Linked DNA regions of Oryzias latipes. The protein of the gene in region 1 interacts with the protein of each later gene in a pairwise test. Links are inferred from orthologs where the notes say so. Each region holds a gene or a part of one and is shown on either strand. Other genes may lie near its edges.

What was found.
Region 2: the proteins of shcbp1 (region 1) and shc1 interact in a two-hybrid assay, tested with the Homo sapiens proteins (2 studies listed by BioGRID, with this or other methods). The link is inferred for Oryzias latipes from reciprocal best matches to the Homo sapiens genes SHCBP1 and SHC1.

What each region holds. Positions count from the first base shown.
Region 1 is NC_019861.2:37,268,624-37,276,309, reverse strand, and holds part of shcbp1 (SHC SH2 domain-binding protein 1), read right to left. Parts: intron 7,255-7,686; coding exon 7,139-7,254; intron 7,069-7,138; coding exon 6,860-7,068; intron 6,787-6,859; coding exon 6,691-6,786; intron 6,624-6,690; coding exon 6,393-6,623; intron 6,319-6,392; coding exon 6,141-6,318; intron 6,052-6,140; coding exon 5,931-6,051; intron 2,441-5,930; coding exon 2,309-2,440; intron 820-2,308; coding exon 701-819; intron 630-700; coding exon 543-629; intron 446-542; coding exon 316-445; intron 241-315; coding exon 1-240. UniProt on the Homo sapiens protein: May play a role in signaling pathways governing cellular proliferation, cell growth and differentiation. May be a component of a novel signaling pathway downstream of Shc. Acts as a positive regulator of FGF signaling in neural progenitor cells.
Region 2 is NC_019874.2:18,331,964-18,340,288, reverse strand, and holds the start of shc1 (SHC-transforming protein 1), read left to right. Parts: upstream 1-3,427; 5' UTR 3,428-7,745; coding exon 7,746-8,325. UniProt on the Homo sapiens protein: Signaling adapter that couples activated growth factor receptors to signaling pathways. Participates in a signaling cascade initiated by activated KIT and KITLG/SCF.

The DNA.
Region 1 (7,686 bases):
TGAACTGGTTCCCCTGAACGGAAACGAAGATCTGGTGCTCCATCAGGTCCTGGACTGCGCGGCTGCACGTCGCCTCCTTGGCTCTGCTCAGCTGGCGGCCGAACTGCCACTTCCTGCCGGCGGCCGAGTCGCTGCCCGCCGTGCTGGCGTCCGCCGGCTCTGCCTGAGGAACCGGGGAAGAGCGCGGCTCTGTGGGCGGATCCTGCTGCCCGTCGTCGGCTGTGACTGCAGCGGGGTCTTCTGGGGGAAAAAAAACAACCATCAAGTCAGTGTCGCTCACGCAGAAAGATGCTGAGACACCGGAGCTCCGCCCACCTTCGCTCCTGTCAGCGGGACCGGCCTCCCCGCCAGGCTTCACCAGAATCACGCCGTAGCCTTCGTTATTGTGGATCACGTTGTTCTCCAGCGTGATGGACGGCATCCCGTCCAGCTCGTTGGCAAAGTCCTTCAAATCAAACAGACCTTATTTAAATGGAGGCTGGGCTCAGGCTGGAGGTCGCGGAGGCGGAGTTTCCCTCCACCGAGCTGCGGTTCAGCCTCACCTTGATGAGGATCCCGTCCTTACAGTGATGAATGTCGTTCCCCACCAGGCAGCAGACGCTGCCGGGGTAGATCTCCACGCCCGCCCCCTGCAGACGGAGAGCCGGTCAGCTGAGGATCGACCAGGCGGGGGGGGGTAATCAGAGGAGGCCGGCCTCACCTTGGAGCCGTACAGGTCGCACATGTTCATGGTGAGGCGCGCAGACGTGCGAACGATCACGCCGGTGGTCTCGCACTGCAGGACGCAGTTCTCCATGTTCAGAGTTCCCTGACGGACGCCTGTCCCACAGAAACACACGGCGGTGAGGAGGCGCATCAGGAAGTCACCTACGCACGCAGGAGGAGGCCCAGAGGAGGCCACTGAGAGGCCCTGAGGAGGCCCAGAGGAGGTCAAATAGAGGCCCGGAGGAGGCCCGGAGCGGGCCCGGAGGAGGCCCGGAGAAGGTCAAATAGAGGCCCGGAGGAGGCCCGGTGGAGGCCCGGAGGAGGTCAAATAGAGGCCCGGAGGAGGCCCAGAGGAGGTCAAATAGAGGCCCGGAGGAGGCCCGGAGGAGGCCCGGAGGAGGTCAAATAGAGGCCCGGAGGAGGCCCGGAGGAGGCCCAGGGAGGCCAAACGGGAGCTGCTCCTCCCAGGTTTGTTCTAGCATGTTTTCGTCTCTCTGAACATCAGCTGATGCTTTTCTTCCAGCTTGTTGTGTTTATGATTTTTTGAAGTTCATCATGCTAAATCCTGAATGTTGCTAAAATCTGGGAGGTCATCTTTAACCCTTTAACACCGGAAATGTCACCGGTGACGGCGAATAACAAATTCTTCGACTGTTTAGGGCTGCACCATCTGAGGAAAACTCGCATTTTGCGATATTAGGGATCAATATAGCGATGACGATATAACTTGCGATACATGAACAAAACATCTAAATTCAATATTTCCATTTCACTGCAACAGTTGAATTGAAATAAGAGTCAACATAACTTCTGCTCCAGACGATCCTCGTATACAGAAGTGAACATCTAACATCAGGGATTGATTTGATTCGTTAAATACTTTGAGATTGTTTTACAACAAGATTACAATTTACTGCAATGTTTGTCGACTTCTGTGATATACGTATTGAACAGCTTGATATCGCGATAACGAAGCATTTGTTATTTATTGTGCAGCTTAACACGAACCAACGGATTCTGTCGTGGAGAAAAGCGGTTTTGCGCCTTTGCTTCACATTAATGACGAAGACTGTGCCGAGCTGCTTTTCTCCGCTTCAGAATCCGGTGGAATTGCGTTGATTGCGTAAAACTTGAAACGGTTCCATGAATTCAAAGGTCGTGGACACTGGAGCTGCAGCTCAGGTGTTTTTATGACTTCGTGCTCACGGAATCCCACGTCAGAAAACATGCTAACGCAGAAACGCTCAGGCGAGCTCATAGACTCTAATGGAACCACGCCGTCTGAAAGCGTGGTGACGCCCACAGGGTAGGACTGGGGAGTTAAACCATCAAATGGTTCCTGAGGGAGGGGCGAATACTGAGACAGTTGTGACACCGATGGGACTTTCACTTTAGATCAGATCAACGGGATGAAATCCGAAACTTTTGGGAGAATTACTTCCAACAGAAGAGTCAGGCCATGCCGCAGCCAGTGACTCAGCCCCTCCCACAAACACCTGCATCCGGATCTTCTCTGACAGAAACCTGACATGGGACCACATCTCCATCTGCGGTCGGCGTGTTGCAAAGCGTCTGAGAGCCGCGTGACGGCGGCCGCACTCACACAGGATGCCCTCGATGGCGTCGTGCTGGATGAACTTGATGTTGGACAGTCGGACGTCGGCGGCTGACGTCTCCACGAACGTGTCGCCTTTGCTGTTCTTCTCGATTACAACTTCGTCCGGAAAGCCGAAACCTAAAGACAGACAAAACACCTGAGAGCTGCAGCGTCTACCTGGAGAAACACACCTGAACGGAAGACGGCGTCAGAGCAGGAAAAGTGTTATACTGGCTTCTGGAAAAAAACAAGTTATTTTGTGTTGAAGCTGCAGGAGCTGCAGGTCGCTGAAAAATCGGCGTTTGCAATGACCGATTCCAAAATGTTGTGGAACTTTCTAAAGTTTTGAGTTTTCTAGTTAAGCCACAGAACTGAATCTGTCTTCTTTTTTGTCCGGATTTTTGACGTTCCTCCTTTTGACCTCTGGAAAACACACCGTAACCTTTCTGTGGACGACCACCCGCTCTGGGAATGAGGAAAAACGGCTGAATAGCTGCGTTTGCACGGACAGAAGTGATCGGAATGAACGCCTGATCGGAATAAAGGTGCGTCATGTAAACGCCGTTCAGAATGCTCCGCCCCTTCCGATGGAGATCGGTGGTCATGCCGATGTTCTCCCGGTAGAACCACGGCTCTGGGACGGTGTGTGAGCTAACGGATGCAGAAATGCCGCTCAGTCCTGAGGAACCGCGTAAACAATCAGGTGGATTCATGTTTCCAGTGGTGTCCAGACAGAATAAAGGCTGAAGTTATTCCCACATGTTTACATGAGGAAAAGATGCAGACTGAAGCTTTGCTCCATGGATTCTAACTGCATCCACGGCTAAATGTTCTTGTTAGCACCTGTTAGCTAACCCTAACCCTTCTTCCTGCTCCGCCCCGCCAAGAAGAAAAGTCACAATTAAAAAAAATAATGAGTGGACCAGCACTTCATAATAATCAATAATAAAATCCCCTTCAGGAGATCATCAGGGGCCTGTTTCAGAAAGGAGGTTCGACCAACTCTGAGGTTGAACTCTGAGTTGGTCAATCGAGAGATTAACAACTCTGAGTTTTCTGTTTCAGAGAAGCTGATGGGAGTTAGGTCAATCAATTCTGAGTGGACTGATTCGGAGTTAAGCGTGCGCACCGCGACTATAAGAAGCCATTATCAATGGAGTGCAGATATCACGAGTCACCATGGCAACCGTGAAAAAAAGAGGTCTGCGTATTTTTCGGCAGCTGAACTTGACGTGCTGCTGCAGAGTTACAGTGAATATGAGCACATATTCCAGAAGAAAAGCAACACCGCTGCATCTGCAAAACAGAGACAGTTAGCGTGGAAAACATAGCTGCTCAAGTTAATGCCTAAGTTTGCATTTAAATCACTGTTATAAAATATTGACTGTAATAATTTTTTAAATAGCGTAAGGTGTGAAATAAAAAATGGGGATATTTAGGTGTACTTTTGAAGTGTTCTTCCTGGTGTAATTGCATGAAATGCTGCATAGTGTACAGAACCAATCTGGGGGGGAAATGCATTTAACGTCGGTAATGTTTAGAGGACTTTTTTGTTAACCTTCCCCTCTTGCAAACGTTGGTCAGTTTAATATTAATACAGTGATCCCTTGCTATATCACGGTTTACTTTTCACGGTTTCGCTACTTCACGGATTTGGATTGTGCATTGTGTCCTGCATTCTGATTGGCTAAAAAAGTCACTCAGCGAGTAGCTCAAGAATGGGACCCTTTGATGAGCCGTTCATTACAGTTCTCCGACATAATCGATGGTGGCATGTCGGTGTATAAGGATCTTTAGCAAAGAAGAAAAAAGAGCGACAACAACTGCCTATCACTATGTTCCTCTCCCGAACAAACACACCTCCAGCTGCACCGCGGGCTTCAAAAGGAAAAAACGCTGCAGAGGATGCAGCGGCTCAGTATGAAGAGCAGTGAAAAAGTAGACCGGAGTCACTATCTGTCCCACTGTACTTTTTTATTTTTTTCATAATCATTTTAAATTTTCTTCCGTTTAATCCACTCGGGTCGCGGTGGGCGGGGCTAATCTCCGCAATTTAAAGCCTTCTGTTCTTATCGATGATTGAAATTATTATTTGACAGCACACTACAGAAGTTATTTGTTGAAAAAACGTTTCTAAAGTACTTTTATTTGTTAAAAAACAATTGATTTAGCCTGTTAAATGGTTTGTTCTTTCTTTTCAATGTATAATAGTGTATTTCATTGTATAATAATTGTAAAAAAAATAAAGGTTTCTACTTCACGGGTTTTGCTTATCACGGGTTCTATTTGGAACGTAACCCCCGCGATAATCAAGGGATCACTGTACATGCAATTGTGTTTTTAACAGTGAACTTTTGTCTACTGTTGAACGTTTCGCTGCGCGAAGACTTCTCCTTTCTTTTCTCTCGTCTTTCCGACCGTGGTCAGAAGCGCAGGGGAGATTTCCTTCAGGGCCGAAGGGAATTCTCCTTCGGGGTTCATTTCCCGTTGGAAACCCTCAACCTCCAGAGCGGATTAAGAATGAATCCAAAACAGTTATTCTGGGAATGACACCTTCTCTTTATGTAACTAAGTGCTCCGTCCTCCAAACACACAATATATACCACGCACACACCTCCGCTCCGTGCTCACCCCCCCCCCCCATCTGCACCTGCAGTCGCCCCTCCCCTTCTCTCTCGTGGCTCGCACCCCGCTCAGCACACACACGCTGCAACACTACCCTTGTATTGATCAAGTGGTATAGGTTTATATGGGATTAAGAAAGTAAGCAGTGCTAGAAAATTGTGTTTCCAAAAAGTAATTGTTACATTAATCTAATTCAATGTCCCTGATTTAATTTTCACGTAGATGCAATCCTGCAGGAATTACAAGAACATGGCAGCAGCTAAAAATGAAAAAAAAAACGAGTCTTCGTACGAGGTAAATATAATTCTCTATGAATTAATGCAGCCTCCTCGTCTATTGGGTCCTCCAAAAAAGGACAAGCCATTCTTGTCACTTAGACCGTCTCTGTGTGACGGAAATGTGGGCAATGAAGGTTAAAGCGAAAAATACCGCTTCGTCTTTAAAAAGGGGAGGAGACCGGCATAAACTTTGAGTTTGGAGAATAAAACCTGCTCCCGACCAGGTTAGGTTCACAGCATAAGTAACCATGGATACTGACTCAGAGTATAAGTTACCTCTCTTTCAGAAACGGGTTTGACTTACTCTGCTTTCTCTGGTTTAACAAACCTCCCATTCTGAAACAGAAAACCCAGGGTTTCCCTGATGTCAGGGTTAATGCACTCAGAGTTTACACTTAACCTCCTTTCTGAAACAGGCCCCTGGTCTCTGCTGCAGCTCGTCTGTTTACGGCTGATCCGATCTTTGATCCGATCACAGATATTTTACACATAGAACCACGACTGTTGATGCTTCTGAGCATAAATGAAACTGAATTTCTTTGGTTCCCGTCTCTCCAGAATGCTGCTCATCCTTCGTCAGTGATCTTTGTATTTATTCCTTTATAAATTATTTTCTCTTACGCTCTCTGTTGTTCTTCCTCCTTTTTGTGTTGAAAAGTCCCCTCAATGTGATGAGAAAGCATTAGCTCCGCCCACTTCCCCTCAAATGGGCGGGGCTCTCATACCTTCTATAGTGATGGAGTCTGGGATGAAGATGGAGCTGCTGACGCTGTAGTTGCCGGGCAGAATGATGACCACGTCTCCATGGTGACAGGAATCCACAGCCGACACCGGATCCCTGTGGAACTGAGGAAGTGACCGAGAAGCTCAGAGCTCGCCGTTCTCAGAAGAACCCGGTTCCTCAGTATAAGAGCGAGCAGAGGGGTCCCGCTGACCTGGATCTGGTGGTCCTCTGAGGAGCACAGCGGCGCCAGGCGGACGCTCAGCAGCGACTGGAGCTGGATGGAGCTGCAGGACTCCGTCACCACGTGAACCGCCGTCAGCCCCGACGCTCTGGGCCCGCGGCTCTGCGCGCACTGCTGCCGGCTGTTGCCCTTGTAGGCCAGGACGTACCTGGACACAGCAGACGAGGAGACGGTGTGCGGGCGTCCGGCTGGGACGCCGAGAGCCTCCGCGGCGGGACCCACCTCAGCAGCGGGTTCTCGATGATGTGCAGTTTGCGTTTGAGCGTCTCCAGCTGCTCGCACAGCTTCAGGCCCTCCACCATGGACACGTTGTCCAGCTCGGAGTCGGAGTCGGCGCTGAGGCCGCTGCGCAGCTCGGAGAACTGCCGGAAGCAGCGGGAGCAGCTCTCCTGTAGGGCGTGGTACTCCGACACCAGGCCTGCCGGGACCCGGTCTTCCAGAACATCGTAGTACCTAGAAGCCCAAGAAAACTCAAAACCAAGTGTGGAGAACTGAAGGATCTGTGGGGGCGTGTTCTCACAGTCTGAGGCGGGGCTCCACGCAACGAACAAAGTAATCAAAGTCGTCGTCCTCGTCTTCCTCGTCCCATTCCCGCCAGATGTGTTTAAAGAAGAACCTGTGGAGGCAGGAACGCTTCAAGAACATCTGGAACCACTGAGGAGCCTGAAGGTGGATCAGCGGGTCCCTACCTGAGATGTTCCAAGGCCAGAGCGGTCTGGTCAAAGTCTCCGGACTCATCGTAGACCACCTGCAGCTCCTGCAGGGGGACTCGGTGCTGCGTGGCCTCCAGGACGGAGGTCATGGCGTCCTCGTCCAGCCGGCAGCCTCTGCCGTCGCACCGCAGCGGCAGCACCAGCTTCACGCACGCCCTCAGATTCTTCACGTCCAGGTCCTGCACCTGAAACCGGAGCGGCTCTGTGAGCCTCTCTGCCCAGAACCAAAACCTCCCAGAGAACCCGGCGGCTCACCTCCACCAGAACGTCAAAGATGTCGGTGGACCACAGAGCCAACCAGTCGCACGGCTCCAGAACTTTCTCCAGGTAATCTGCAGTGAAGGCCTTCACCTCTGAGGGCTTGCAGTCTCCTGAAGACAAACGACAAAACGGGGTCCAGGTCAGGTCCTCTTCACAGGGACGGTGTCCCACAGGGCTTTGTGCTGGGCCCACTACTGTCATTAGGTAACATTATCAGGCGTCATGCTAGGCTGATGATACTCGGCTTTACATAAACCAGGAGATCTTTGCCATTTACAAGACTTCCAGGAAGTTCTAAAGGTTTGACCAATGCAGGTCCAGCCAGGACTCTGTCCGTCCAGGACCTTGTCGGCCCAGGACCCGGCCCACCCTCCTTTGTATTAAAACAGACTCGACCCAAACCAGTCAGAACCTAAATCTGCTGGAGGTTTCTTTCAGCCAGAGGGAGTCTGACCTCCAACCGTTTTTATTTTGAAGCCTCTGCCTAAGCTTTGTCATCACTGTTGTGAACAATAAAGTTTGAACGCCATCTGCAGCTCTTT
Region 2 (8,325 bases), on another chromosome or scaffold:
CATAATAACACAGGCTTGCAGCATTAAAGCCTTGTTTAACTTGTATTTCCATCTAATAAATACCAACTTTTTGCAGCTTCCACTGGCTTCTTCATCTTGCATTAAAACAAAACGCTTTCTTTGTGGCTTGGACTGAGCAAGTCTAGGCAGTCTTTTCCAACATAAGGTTGTTTTTAGTTGATTCCTTTCATTCCACAGGCTGTGTTTCAACATGCAAACAGGTTTACCAGTCAGCTCCATTGGCTTGGTTTGTCTCTGTTGCTTTCTGTTTCTTTGTATGTCAGTTTTATGTCAATATTACGTGTCTTGTGTTGTGGATGTCTTCTCCACAGCTGATTCAGAGATCAAAGCATGCTGGAGGTCAAGTGGGCGCCTTTGGAGCTTGCTGCAATCTGCTTGTTGTGTTTTGCTTGTGTGTCTGATGTGCACTTTGGTGTTTTTAGTATTACAGACTGACAGGGAGCCTGTGTGGGCCAATGGAATATATGGTAAGATATTCAAAAATACGAGGCAAAAGTAAAAAACAAACAAACACATGACATCACAGTGGCGCGAGAGTTGCTTCATTTTAGTGTCAACTAAATTTGAAATATGGAAAAAGTACTATAGAAGAGACGTGTGACATGACTAGAAGACTGTCTAAAATCATCAAACGTCTAAGAAATTAATAAAAGTTATTTTATTGGGACTTTTTGTACCTTAGTTACTGTACTTGTAGAACTTTCTGTCACATATACACATTAAGATGGCATGTGAATTAAGTTTTAAATACTTTTTGGGGTTATTCCATCTAAATTGAACACAAAGCTCCTGCAGAATCTTTATTTCAAATAGACAGTGAGGCACAGTATGTAAAGCACATTAAATGAACCCATACCAAAATTTAGCCCATTTATCCGTCCATCCATTTCCTGAACCCGCTCACTGTTCACCAGAACTTGTCCCACCCACTGTTGTGTAAAGGCGGAGTACACTTTTAATTGATGGGCCAAAACTTAGTCTGGTCAGATAAAATATTGGGTTAAAGAAAAATAATTTTTATGGTGCATACAACTTTGTAAGTGATTTAGTTAGATGAATAAAATGTTCAAGGTTTAAAGTAAATTCATTGACTTTATTTGAGAACTGGACTGAGCGATCCCTTGGGCTCCAAGAAGCCAAAATCCCATAGACTTCTATTTAGAAATAAACCATTATGACTCAGTCAAATTCTATTAGTCAGAAGAACCATTCTTGCTCTGATACCCTTTTTTAACATGTTCTTGCTAATCTTAATTGTATATTTTTCATTATATTTCTTCATTGCAAGTTATTCAAGTTATAAACTGGCCAACCAGATGCCTCAGTAACAGCATGCAGTTCTCGCTGGCCCCCACCTCGAACATTTGAAATGTTAGATTCTGAGGCCTCTTTCAGTGGAAGAAAGTTAGTGTGGACTTCCAACAAGCGTCCTGATTAGTGACAGTAGTTGCCATAGAAATGGAGACTGGGACCGACTTGGACCAATCACTGCCGAAAAATGGCGACTGAATTGGCTTCATTTGGTTGCCGTAAACCGTTTTCTGTGGGTTACGTCACACTCACTCAGTCCAGTTCTCTTGTACAGTTAATGGGTAAATTATCGAACTGCCATAGAACTCCCAGTTTCTGATGGTGAACATACTTTTAAGAAAACTAATATTTGTCTGCATTTTGGGACTAAAATAAACTTTAACGCCTAAATTTGTATCAAAAAAGGACAAAAAAAGAACTTTGCTTCTATCTCATCACATGCATTAGTTACTGTGCTAAAATAATTATTAGATTTGAAAAACATCTTCGACAAATAATTCTAGAATTCATTAATTTTAAATGAAATGATCCTGGATCATTAGTTAAACTAGTCAGAGATTTTCTGCAAATGTTAAAAGTATTCAGAGGTGATTTTTTTTTTTTGTTTATCTAAAAGGTTTTTCTAAACAACATAAGAAATATAAAACAGGATAATTTTATACTAACTTTGAGGCACAATTCTGTTTCTAAAATAAATTTTGAAAAAGAAAAAACTTGTTGTGAAAGACCTTTTTACACATATTCCCTACTGCAGCAGTGTAACAGATAAAAGTAAAGCTTGTTCTTGAGTTACCTTATTTAAGTAAAACTAGAGTCTGAAGTCAGCATGTAGTCATGCATGAGTAATTACTCTGCCATGTATATGCACAAGGAAATTTATTGCAGTTTTCCTCAGACTGTACTCGGACGTCAGTTTATTAGTCTTACCCCAAAAAAAGCACATGCAGTTTACAGCAGTCCAGCAATAAATCCTGCCTTCACCCTTGCAGCTTTAATAGGTCTTTTGATAAAGTTGCTTTAATGAGCCACGAATTGAACTTTACGGTTAAGTTTTTTTCAGGGCTGCAGGTTTGGACCTTTTGGGACTGGGTTGCATAATGTTCAGAAAAATGAAAATCATATCCTTCAAGAGAGGAGATGCTTCAATTATTTACGCAGTTATTATGCAAGACTGGATTCATTATAACTGTGTCTACCTTATAAAAAGTTGCAATAGTCTCTTCTCTAGTCCTTTTCTGTAAATCTCAAAACGGGTACACAAATTTTGGGGGAATTTTGAAGGTATTGTGTGTCAACTCTAAGCCACTGTGGTTCAGGCTGGTGGAGGGTGCTGTTTTTCACTGTTAATCATTAGTAGTAAATACTGCAAGCACGGTGATGGAAGGGGGCACTTGGCAGGGGTGTGGTGCTTAAATTTAAGCTAGAAGCACTTTTTTTTGTTGTTTTGGTGTGAATTGAGGACTTATTGCTGTTCCCCTCTGCTTAGTTCTTGCAGCACTCTATGCCTGGTTTCCTCTCTTTTCTGCAACACTGACTTCTCATCAGATCCGCTTGACTGTCACAGGCAATTTCTGGTCTCTCTGCTTTCTATATTTTAGTGTCCTAGTCATGTGAGTGTTTCTCATATTCATTGTGCAGATGTAACTCATGCTTTTTTTTTTTTTTTAAGTTTATCTGGCTCCATCAAGGTTATACAGAGTGACCTCCTGTCACACAGAATTGCTGGCTAAAGGGCTGTGGGGTTTGAAGGAGGGAAGGGAGGGGGGTCTCTTTGTCCCAGTCTTTGAAATCTGTTTCTCAAGTTACCAAACACGAAGGCAGGACTCTTGAATGGCCAACATAAACAGCCCAGTTTTTCCACGCATGCACTGCTGTGCACGTGGAGACACACACTCACCCTCTTCCTTCCTTCCCCATCTCCCCCCCTTGAGCATTAGAGTGCATTAATGTGCATGAGGGCAGTATGTAGCTGTGCATGCATATGTGCACTTCAAAATGACTCTGGCTGCAGAGAAGGGGGGGGGCAGGAAGGAAGTAGAATGGAAAAGAAGAAGGTGGAGGGGAGGGGGGCATGCAGCACTGCACGGTAGAGTAAGAGAGAACGAGAAAATGGGAGGCAGCATCACCCACCCAGACAGGAGGAGGGGAGGGTAGACAGCATGCTCGTCCCCTCAAACAGACAGAGGTGGAAGGAAAGCGGGCATGAGAGGCAGACACGAGGGGAGAAGAGAAGTACAATGAAGGAGTGCTATTGTCCATCCTGACAGCACTGCCATTTCACCATCCGCTGAGAGACGGGAAGGGTGACAAAGGAGGGGGACGAAAGAGGAGGCAGCCAAACGGAGGAGAGAGGATAGATGGAGAGGAGCGGCAGGAGCCGGCAGTGACTTTGTGAATTAACCGAGCGGAAGAGCGGATCAGAGAGGAAGCGCGATTTTTCTGGGAGTGGATGAGGAGAAAGCCAGAGAAAGAGGAAGGAGAGGACGAAGGATCCGACTTTCTGTGGCTGTTCAAACATCACTGGGGCTCTTCTTATTGGAACATGAAAACCAGCTTTTCATGAATGGTTTATTATTAATAATAATAATAAAAAACAACTATAGAAGCTTTGATATTTAGTGAGAAAAATGAAGAACACAGAAGCAAATGTGTTGCTCACTTGATACAAAACATTTTTTAAAGGACTTTTTGTAAATATAGACTCTCTTTTCGACTTCTAATTTTTATATTTTCTATAATTGTAGATCTGCAGGATGTTATACAATCATTTCTTTTAGAAGTTTCTCAGAAGATTCAGCTTTTTATGCAAGTTTTTGTAACAGTTGTCTTTTAAATACTAAGGTGTGGTGTTCCTTGTTAATTGAAAAAGGTTTTTTTTATTATTGTTTGATATGATTTGTGATTGACTAGCTGTTAGAGTCCGTACATGCATCCAATGTGGGATGTCAACACTGATTAGGTGTGATGGGTGGCTCCAAAGCAGTCAAACTTTGATCTTAATCGTATTCTTCTTCTAAAAGCCTGTGATTTTTTTTGTTTGTTTGTTTTATCCTGCCGTTCTGTGGAAAAAAATCCAAAAGGCTCATCTATTTTTCAGTTTGATTCCACAAAGCAGTTATCCCAGAAAATTCCTGCTGTTGTCGGGACTTTACGGCATACATGCTCGGCGGGCTTTTCTTTTAATGTCTGTTGCCATAGCAACGGGAAGCAGCTGCAGACAGAACTAGATGTAAAGTTCCTCTTTTCCTTTTTTTCAAAATTCATTTTAAAAACTGGTGCTGTTTCATTGCTGTTGCATAGATCATCATAGATGTAACATCTTAGAAAGAATTAGCCTGTGCTTTTGTATGATTTGTGGGTTTTGTGTTAGGGGTCATAGTTGTTAACTCTAACTTTGTCTGTGTGAAAGTTTGTTATCCAATGTTTTTTTTTCAGTTCATCTGTCCTCAATGTGCTACTATCAGGCATGACTGTGTGAATTAGATGATCACTCTGACTTCACTTGTACATATCCGTGGGTGCTGCTGTTTGACCCTGAGGCCTATGATCATCAGTCATCAGCAGTGCTGCATCTATGACAGTCTGTTCATTACAGCGCTCATCTGTTGGTGACTCAGGATTTCTCTTCATGTAGAGGGCCGTCTCCTCTGCAGTCACCTGACCTTCACTGTGTTTTGTGCACCAACATCCTAGAGCTAGGGTTGACTCGACTCTATTAGTTCTCTCAGAAGGAACAACTGGTGTTCCTAGTCTGCTGTTAACACGTGTTGGATGTGTTGCCTATGGAACGTTCTAAGCCTCTTTGGACTTAATTTTGGTTCTATTAAGTGTGTGACAGACTGTTAATTTATTCTGCATGCTTTTTATCTGAAGACTTTGTGTCTTTTCCAGCCATACTACTTTATAGCTTTCTGGAGATCATCCAGGCCTGTCTGGCAGTGGATGAGTATATCTGGATCCTCCTTGGTGCTTTTTGTCCAAGACCAGATGGATGGCTAGCTAGAACTGCTAGACAATCCCTCTGTGGTGCTAGACTGGTGTAGGCGACTGTTCCTTTTGCCATTCATCCAGCACCCACTACAATCTTGACCGTTATACTTTTGGCTTAGTTGCATTCTCAAATGTTATAATAAGCCATTCCTTTTGGTATTATTAAAAGGTTGGTGCCAGATGTGCAGCCTTGTGTAAGTTATTCATCTTTTGCAAGTCTAAAGGTCAATGTTCTGTAAATATGACTAGTGCCTCAGCAGCACTAAGGTTTAGGCAGGACAGCTTGCTGCAGGGCTAAAAGTGTACATTTGCCTCCCACTGAGGTCAAGTTGTTACAGACTGTTTCATTTGTGGGATGTTTGTTGTGAGCGACTGCTAATGTAAGAGTATTTGCCTTCTAGGTTGGTCTATGCAGAAAGATGCAGTGTTTTAAGGTGTCTGTTGGACAGAGCTGAGATCTGACTATTCCTTGCGTTGGGAAGGGAGCTGTCCTGGAATATAGCCTTTGGCTTTTTTATATCATACACTTTGTGGCAGTGTCAACATTCTTCTCTCAGGTAAACAACTATAATCTGGGCTTTTTATTGAATTGAACTACGAAACAATCAGATGACAGCAGCTGGCACTGGGTTAACAACAAAGGTCAGTTCTATTTGAGCTTCTTTCGAACCCAGATGAGTGAGTTCATCTTCAGCACTGATGAGCTCTCACTTTGCTGAAGCTGGATTATGAGATCAAACCTGACAAATCAGGTTTCATTACCATCACAACGAGCCCACCAGTAGTGTTCATCAGCCAATGACCCACATTCTCCCGTGTTACATCACCACCTTGGTGCTGCAGTGTCTGTCACTGTACCAGTCAGACAACATCTCCCAGGAGGCCTACCAAGATTCAATGGTGCTCAAGGAATAAACAGAAAAAAAAGAACAACAAAAAAAAAAAAGTGAAACTTGGTGGTCATTTTTAGGGAACACACTTAAACAAAAGCAGGCTCTTTTGTTTTTAGCCATATCAGGTACCTCTGTCAGGAACCGGCTCCGCTCTGCGAGTCCAGTCTTAAAAACAAACTTTTGTTTGGTTTTTCTTTGTTTTTCTATGGGTGTCTGTAATGACCATGTCTAGCCTCTAGCCATCCCAAAACCTTAAGTTCAAAAGGCATTCAGACGGGACTCACTTGTATTTTTTGAGTGAGGTTCTGTTAAACGGGACAGCCTGGAGAACGGGCGAGCCATCGAGGGAGGGGGAGAGGGGGCGCGAGAGATCATTTGGAAAAGAAGAGAGGAAGTGGTGGCGCAAGAGAGGGCGGAGGCGCTGGAGAGACAGAGGCTGGCAGAGTACATTGTGTGGAGGAGGAGAGAGGACTTCCAGGACAAGAAAGGAGACGGAGAGAAGGGGGGAAAGAGCACCGAAAAAGGAAAAGAGGCTTCACCAGAGGTCATCTGGAAGAGGAGAGAAGACGAAGAAGGAGACGCAGGAAGGGAGAGGGCCAAAGCCATTCAGAGAGGACATGAAATCATTTGGAGGAAGAGGGAGAGAGAGTAAAACAGGACCCGATGACACATTTGAGGGTGTCATGTTCATGAAAAGTAGCTGCTGAAGAAGCTGTTGCTACTGCTGACACAAAACTCTGACGCTAGTTGAGAGCAGGAACCCTCCTCTCTTCTCCGGCAGGTACCTGCTGTATTATTGACCAGTTAAAGTTTTGGATGATGTCTGCACAGCCCTTCTTCTAATCCCTGTTTTGGCTCCTAATGGGATTTTTAAGCATTTTTTATGGGCCTCTGTCAAGCAGGATACGACTGCCAAGCGGAGCTGCATTACACATGTGCATGTCATCATTGCGGACTGGCAAGGTTTCCAGCACCTCGTGCATGTAGTCATATCGCATTCAAGTGCACAGCTTTGGTTCCGGAAAAACAGGCATTCCGAGTGACAGGAACTTGTGGGGACTCTCTAATGACAGCTTTAAAACTGGCTCTCACTCAGGGATGGTTATGTTGGAAGGAAATACTCACTGATTGTTTTACATCATGGGAGAACACCGAGAAAGAACTGTGGAGCTGAGAGTTCGTCTTCATTAGTCCTGGGAAATCAAACAAATCACAAAAGGATTGAACCAACATGAGCTGTACAAGTCTTGAATGAGACGTTTTCTTTTTGTCTGATTATCTGGGACATCCCACTTCTCTGGACCTCTTCTCATTCTGCATTCACTGTGGACAGAGTTGTAGTTGAAGCAGTTTGGTTTGGCTGCCTCACAATGACTGTAGGACGGACAATCAGATGCAGCAACATGGATGCAGCTCAAATCATGAGCAAGACGTGCAAATGGGTTTGTCTTTTCAGAGAAAAACTTTAGTTTGACAGACACTTTGATCCACTACAGCCTTGGCATCAAAAACTCTCTCTGCAGGATCAATATGGAGCTTGTGCCCAAAACTAAATACACCCACTTTCGGAGTGAGTCGCTGAGTTCAAACGATGACACCAACTCCAATCCATCGTCGTTCCCTCCTTCCAGTCCTGCCACCCCTTTGACCCCCTCCCCTGGTATACCTTCTTCTCTTTCCTCCTCGTCTCTCACTCCTATTTTGCCCCCCACCTCTCCCCGTCCGGCAGAAAACAGTCCCACCACCCTCTGCTCCTTCTTCCCAAGGATGAGTTCCCTTCGTCTGGGTGTCACTGCTACTCTTCTTCCAGGACTCAAGGCCTCAAGCAGGTCACAGCCATCTCAGCTGGCTGTGGAGTCCTCTGGGGACGATAGGAGCAACTCTAGCTCCTCCCCTCCTCTTCACCAACCTGCTCCCCTCCTAACCGCCCCCTCTCCCCCTCCCCGACCTCCTCTGCAGGACATGAACCGGCTTGGAGGGGCGTCCAGGAGGGCACGGGTGGAAGGTGGGCAGCTGGGAGGAGACGAATGGACACGGCATGGCTCCTTCGTCAACAAGCCTACCCGTGGCTGGCTCCACTCTGACAGTGTGGTCAGCACCACTGGTGTTT